Linked DNA regions of Danio rerio. Each later gene encodes a partner of the first gene's protein in a complex. Links are inferred from orthologs where the notes say so. Each region holds a gene or a part of one and is shown on either strand. Other genes may lie near its edges.

The links. Proteins that work in one complex are often made in the same cells at the same time.
Region 2: the proteins of rev1 (region 1) and polk are in contact, whole or in part, in an NMR structure (PDB 2LSI), measured with the Homo sapiens proteins. The link is inferred for Danio rerio from reciprocal best matches to the Homo sapiens genes REV1 and POLK. Residues at the interface, in NP_057400.1 of Homo sapiens: Asn1158, Leu1159, Ala1160, Gly1161, Ala1162, Asp1167, Leu1171, Leu1172, Glu1174, Trp1175, Thr1178, Ile1179, Met1183, Glu1185, Asp1186, Gln1189, Val1190; in NP_001374042.1 of Homo sapiens: Lys564, Lys565, Ser566, Phe567, Phe568, Asp569, Lys571, Arg572, Arg575.

Annotation. Positions count from the first base shown.
Region 1 is NC_133184.1:23,421,824-23,425,481, reverse strand, and holds part of rev1 (DNA repair protein REV1), read right to left. Parts: intron 2,334-3,658; coding exon 2,217-2,333; intron 2,109-2,216; coding exon 1,982-2,108; intron 1,499-1,981; coding exon 1,370-1,498; intron 1,278-1,369; coding exon 1,123-1,277; intron 808-1,122; coding exon 688-807; intron 1-687. UniProt on the Homo sapiens protein: Deoxycytidyl transferase involved in DNA repair. Transfers a dCMP residue from dCTP to the 3'-end of a DNA primer in a template-dependent reaction.
Region 2 is NC_133180.1:46,859,288-46,862,945, reverse strand, and holds part of polk (DNA polymerase kappa), read right to left. Parts: intron 1,475-3,658; coding exon 1,322-1,474; intron 83-1,321; coding exon 1-82. UniProt on the Homo sapiens protein: DNA polymerase specifically involved in DNA repair. Plays an important role in translesion synthesis, where the normal high-fidelity DNA polymerases cannot proceed and DNA synthesis stalls.

The sequences.
Region 1 (3,658 bases):
TATATATTACATATATATATTTTTTTTTCCTCTCCGTTCATTAATCGTATTACTAAAATGATCAATAATTAATCGTAATCAAGTTAACAAGTTCAATTAACCGTGTCGAGATTTTGACTATGAGCCAAATTGCCCAGCCTTACAGTAAAAACATTTACATATTCATCAAAAGGTTTCTAATAAATTCATTTTCCCCCTTACTATTTGTCAAAGAATCTTGTTTAAATTTTAGATAGTTTCCACAACAGTATTGAGCGTCAGATCTGATTTGTGACATGATACTAAAGTAAATAGTTTTCTGGTTTAGTGCTCTTCACCATTTTCCTTTGAGTTATTTAATGTTCACAACAACCTGTAGCTCTATAATTAACAAATCTATAGTTGTAAAATTTACTTTACTTTACATTAAACACAACATTATCTGTGAAAACTGGACTGAAGCGGTTTTTAATTTGCTAGAACTTAAATGTACAGTATGTTAAGCTGCTTTATGAAATGTTTATTAACATGAGTAGTGGGTCATGAAAAGTTCAACTTTGCCATCCCACGAATAAACAATATTATAAAATAAATTACAACAGAAAACGGATATCTTCAATTGTAACAATATTACACAATACAATGTAAGTTTGAGTGTTAGAATTGTTTTGATCTTTTGGATGAAAGTGTAGGATGCTCTGTTCTCACCAGGTAAACTGGACACAGGCTGGTCTCTAATAAAATCATCCACTTCCTCTGATCTGAGTAAATACTGCCCTTTGGGTTTAGCCTTACGGGTTGCCATCCGAGCAAGTAGGATGTTGGAACCTGTTAAAAAGCATAAGCATTATTATCAGAGATAAACCTGCACCAGCAACTGCATTATAAATAGACACACTGATATTAAAGTCCTTTTAGAGAAAAGAAAAGTTGATTCTGTATTCATGACAATATTGTTGCAAGGCTCTGTATGACTTTTAAAATGAATAACTTTAGAAGCGTTAACCAAAGACAGTTCATAAGATTTAGGACATTAAAAGTTTGACTAACACATTGTTATGCATATCTCTTTTTGAGTTTGATGGAAGAACAAAAAAGTAACCAATTCGAAAAAAAATAAGGGTGATTAATAAAGTCTTTTACTCATTCCAACTGAGGCACAGCAGCCAGTCTTCTCCTTTATGTCTTCACGGATGGACCGTGCCAGTTCATCAGGAGACACCCCCAGCTCAACCAGAAGAGCTGTGGCATCAACCAGTGCCTCGTCACAGCTCAGCGCCTCAATGTTATGAGTGTAACTGTAAAATAGGCAAACAATAAGCAAGAGAACTTCTGTACTCATCTGCTGAGTTTAAGAATAAAGACAGTAATGAAGCATTACAACTGGTACCTGGCCAGGATCTCATACATGGCCAGAGCCACCTCTTTATAAGCATGGAAGTCATATGGAACAGACTGCAGATCTGGACACAGCTGCTTGGCCCTACCAAAGAACATGCCATTTCGCACACCAGCCTGCCTGTAAAAGAGAGTGAGGACAGTTTTTCAAATCATCATTTTTAAAAAAAAATCTTCTGCTAGAAGGCACACAGTTTTAAAAAACTCAAATGTTTTATGGCGTTTTATTCAAGCCCAACATTTCTATTTGCTTTAAAGCCATCTATAATAATTCATATACTTATATTGTTTTTACTTAAATGACATAAAGTAAGATTAAACAAGCATTAAAATGACAGCTATAGATAAAGCCACAATAAGCTCATGGAACAAACCATAGTACATGTAATCTGTAACAAATGGCATTATGATGAACTAAAAATGTCCTGCCTACATTAAATATTTTAGACAATAGTGATATTTGGTTGGTGCTGAAAAATATTAAAACCATGTGGAATTTGTTATTTACATGTAGAAAAATCTCAAAATGGGCAGATATGAAACATTGAAATTTTTTGTTGTGGGCAGCATGTTGCAGGAAAGTGGCCAGGTTTGCAATAATTACCTGGCCTCGTAACTACAAGAGGCAATCTCTGCCATAGAAAGGGCAGCCAGGTCTTCATGCACTCCATTACTGGGAACTTCACCATCCTGTGGAGATGGGGTCATCTCAAGATCCCCATCTGTCTTCTCTAAAGCACAAAAAGGACAAAGGTCGGCTAGTTACAAACTTGCAAAAACCTCTAATAAATTAATTCTGAATTTTGTGACAACATATTTCTTTAAAAATCTGGGCTCACCTTTCCTGTAATGTTTCTGTTTATTCTGGTAATACTGAAACTCAAGCTGAGGGTTTGCACCAGGGCGCTGAGCAACACGGCCTGGACCACGATTACTAGTCACCGCAACTGGTTTCCCTGTAGTACAAATTGACCATCAGTAAAGCTCAGTTTAAGTTAAAGTGGGCTTGAAGGCCTAATTTATACTTCTAAACTTAACATGCGTTTTAATTAATCTGATCACCAAGTCTGTCACGATAGTGAAATTTGGCTGTCTAAGAAATATTTGCAATTATGCAAATGATCATCTATTTCGGTGCATTGATATTTAGTAGGATGCTTTTCTTGGCTCCATAAAGAAATCTAATATATTGTCAAGCTGAATACCTTGGGCTAAAGAGGGCCAGCTGGGGCTTCGAGGCGGAGTGAAAGGAGAGGCGGACTTTGCCCGAGTCTGGTAAAGAAGGCATGCCGTCATTACACTAGTTTTCCGATCGCACACGAGTAAATGCGCCAAATAAGCAAATAAATAAATAAATAAGGGAAAGAAAACATATAGCCTTATGGGCCGCGGGTCGTTTTGCTTAAGATCACCCTTCTGCTTCCCCTTTAAATGTAAGGGTGTTGCATAAAATAATAAAGTTTTAATTTCTAAGTGACTTTTCTTTGCTGCGTCCTCTTTGATGTTTCAATAACGCATAATAATCTTTACACCATATTAAAGACACAGCAGCCAATGAAGGTTGTCGAGAGTTTTTGTCAAGTTTAAAAGGCGTGTTTATGCGTGATACATGTAACACACACAACACACACAACACACACACACACCAATATAAACATTAGGAAGATTTGCCACAATGAGTAATTGACAGTGCTGGTTTTTGAAGATTATAAACTACAGTTTGTGCTTTTCAAAGAGAAAAGAAGCTGAAATATCATGACCTATTGCCAAGTATGGTGTCCCATACTCAGAAATGGAGCTCCTGCATATCTGCAGCCACAAAAGAACACTTACAAAAGTCACAACCTGCAGACCGAACATGGCTTTATAGGAAATTAAGTGAGAAAGGACAACAAAACAAGGCATTCATACTTTGCCATGTTGTACCAAATCAACCCACATTATCATCAAAAATGCATTTGTCATTCACATTCTTTTCATTTGCTTGCTTTACTGCTCACTCATAACATGCGTTCATTTATTTTTTGAGAATAAAAATTATGCATTTAAGCCACAGTCACAAGAGTTTGAACATATAAAATTCTGTGGTCGTCGTAGTGAAATAGGCAGATTAGTAAAAGATTATGTTGCGTTGATAATAAGAGCGATTCTAGTCTGCATTTCTGTACAGTGAACTGCTATTGGTCTTACAAAATCATGTGATGCGAATTCGCAGATCAGAGCTTGAACTTTGAAATGCATCAACACATGAAATTGTCGCACAAGGTTATGTTTCCAGTCT
Region 2 (3,658 bases), on another chromosome or scaffold:
GATCCGGACAGAGCTTTTTAGCAATGAATCCGGGCATGGCAGCACGGACACCAAACCTTCTGGCATGATAATTGGAGGTTGACTGAAAAGAATAAAAGATTATAACGTCAACTAGAGCAGCATGATTAATCGTTACAATATCTTGATTCAAACACACTTAATCTTAATAAATGGTCACCATTACCATATATGTATTTATCTCTGTTTGGGATGTAAACACTGATGTTCATGGTGAAGATTAAAATTACCATTGATGGCTGCTCAACTGGCGACAAGCGACCATCAAAAATGAATTTGTCACTGAATAATTACTTTAAAAGATTCTAGTAATGGCACATGAAGTCTTTATGAGTGAGTTGTTGTATTATCAAAAGTGCTGTATGAAAGTTTTGACTCTCCTAAAGCATAAAAACACCATAATATGTTTGCAGATATTTAAGAAACATACTAAGAGAACATGGCTGTTTTTCTGAAAAACAATGCTGAAGTCAATTAATCTGCTTTGAAATCGTGCTTTTTCCACATGAGGTTATTAATAAGCAAATAATATAAATATTACGAGCGTAAACATTAGCTGAGCATTGTAACTTCATGTCCTAACAACAAGCTATGTGACCTGACTTGCAGTGATATGCAATTTGGCTGTTTGCACCAAACAAAACACGACATTAATTTAAATACAGCCATTTACAGGCACAAAATATGCACTTAATCATGAAATGGTAAGGTTTATAATCTATTTAATACATATTAAACCTCTTTACCATTATTAAATGTACTGAATCATGAGTTCTAAAGTTCAATTTCAAATGGTTTATTTTATTTTCAAGATCTGCTGCTGCTTTCAGTAGTATGGCAATAATTGTCATGCAAAATGGCATTTAAACTCATATTGTTAGCATTTAACACTGAATAAAGCACACGAGTTGTGCCTGAGGTGATCATTGTCAGTTTTCTGTTGTTCAGCTGCAAGAAATAGAAGCTTCCTTTTGGTCCTCAATCTGGCAACCTGCGCTCGAGTTTGTTTTGATTTAGAATACAATACCAAGTTCAACCACTGGGTGGCAAACTTACGTACTGCACCTTTAATTCAAAATTATATTTAAACAAACGAAAGATGAATATGTGAAGGTGTTCACCAGGGTAGATATTTTTCAATACATTACACGTTACAGATAGATGGCTAAAACAGAACCTCTAGAAGACTTTTGGTTATTTTGTTATGCTTTACATTCAAACTCTTGCAGCTCTGATGTCAGCACTGTGGATGTGTAATGGTGTTCAGTTAAGTTAATCAGTTAAGTCCGTTTCAGATATTTACCAACATGCTCATGGATCCCACTGCCATCGGTTTGTCCTTCAGCTCCGGACAGTCTCTCATTTCTACAGCAGCATAGAATGCATCCATGTCCACGTGAACGATCACACGACCCAGCTCTCGACTCCTCTCCAGGTCACCTGTCAGTCTGTCCACCTGTGGAGTGAAAACTCTTCAGTAATGATACTTAACTGAACAGGTAAGAAAATGGACAAATAAAACAGGCATTTAATTTTATACAAGTTTTGTGTACTAAATGTTAGGGCTGGGCGATTAATTGAAAAGTAATCGAAATCTAAAATCTAACTTTTCCAGGTTGTTTTTTTCTATTAGTTTCACAACAGCATCTGTGACGTGTCACGTGAATCCGCTCTGTTAAGGCTGATTTATACTTCTGTGTCGAGCGTATGGTACGGCGCAGCCTTTGCCTTGAGACAGCATATTTTCCATTACATTAGAATTATTATTTACATTAAAATATTTGTTCACAGAAGATTTACGAAATGCACAGTTTAAAATTTAATTTACAAGATATGCAAGGGTTATTTTATTTAAATGAAGTACTATATCTTGTCTAGAATGTATCTTGTCAATGAAGAATCTTGTCAATGAAAAACATTGAAAATAAATTAATTTATTTCCAAAAGAGCAAGTTATTTATTTTCACAATTTTATAAGAAAAAGAGTGACTGTTCATTTTAGGCAATGTGTGTTTTACTTTCAGTTGTTCAACTGTGATGTTCAATTGATAATCATAGATGGTAGATGGTAATTTACGGACGGGAAAATGCGCTTTGCACTATGGCGCATGGTCTAAATGGGTTGAGTTTATTTTCTTAATGAGTTATAGGTGTGTTTTGAGAATAAACCAATTAGAGTCTCATCTCCCATTCCCTTTAAAAGCCAGCTGCGTCGCACCAAGAGCGCATTCGCTATTTACAGGACGCAAAGTAAGTCTAAGTGGAAAAATGAGCATTTCACTAGCAAACAGTTCACAGTTAACAGTTTTTTAACAGTAAACTGTTAAACAGAGCATCTACTGCGTGAGAATGAGAGATAATGGAACTACTTTGGAAAGGGAAACCTTTACGCACAGACATCAATTAACCTATAAATAAATACTTTTGTTTGTTAAGCGCAAATATTCGTTTCAAAACTATTTCTAAATTCAGTTCTAATTTCCAGCAAACGAATAAATGAACAATAATAACAAAATGTGCTCAAAAAAGTTATATCCATATAAAACACATGCTGTGCCCCATATGGTCTAAAACCTGACAGGTGGGCAAATCTAAGCTTGTTTATAATAAAACAAATATAAATATGGATATAATAAATAATACTGCTAATAATAATAACATTATACAAAAGCAAATTGTTATGAATGAACTGAAAAAGCCTCCCGAGATGAAGAAGACATAAAAGCAGTGATTTTTCATATTTATGTAGGCTAGAAAATAATATGTTTTGTAATATTTTAATCATTTATATTTATATCCTATATCTATTCTTATTATATCCTATATATATCCTTAATATTTACATTTTTTCATATGTAAAGATATTTGCCTATTGCTCTCTTGTGCGTATTAAGCAGTGCCGGAGTTTAGACCGGGTTAGTTTTGGTCTAATGAAAAATCTATTATAGTTTCTCAAAATAGCGACGTGCCAGCGGTCCGCCTCAGAACGCCTCTCTTTTTAGACCACAACGCCTATGGGCGCACAAATGAGCGCTAATGCATTTGCTATTTAAAAAGCGTAGTGCAACGCCTTAAAACAACTCTTGCGCCAAGCTGAAACTACCAAAAGACTATTGCGCCGCGCGTTGCACCACACTGCGCCGGGTGTATGATAGGGCCCTATGTATTTTATATCATGAAATTTATGATTTTTTGCATTGTGGATTTTTTTTCATGACAATAACGCATACTTTAAAAAGCAATTGAATAATTATTTTACTTTAAAAAGTGAGTAAATTTGTTGCTCAAAGTGACAAGTTGAATTTACCCCCCAAAACAGAGCAAACCCATTGTAACTTGGAACAGTTAAGTAAACTTAATTTGTATAAATATGCAACTAGTTCATTTACTTAATATTTTAGTCAACATGTTTACTCAAATATTAAAGTAAAGACTAGGGCTGCACAATATATAGTTTTAGCATAAATATCGCAATGTGCGCAAATGAAATAGTCGCATCGCAGGATTTGCAATGTTGAGTTTAAATTACAATGACCAGGAACAACATTTCAGAACATGATTTGTGGAGTCATCGCAAATTTGAACCCTAATAGAGAGAAAGATTTTCATTTGGATGTGTTTTAAGGAACTGTGACTAAGA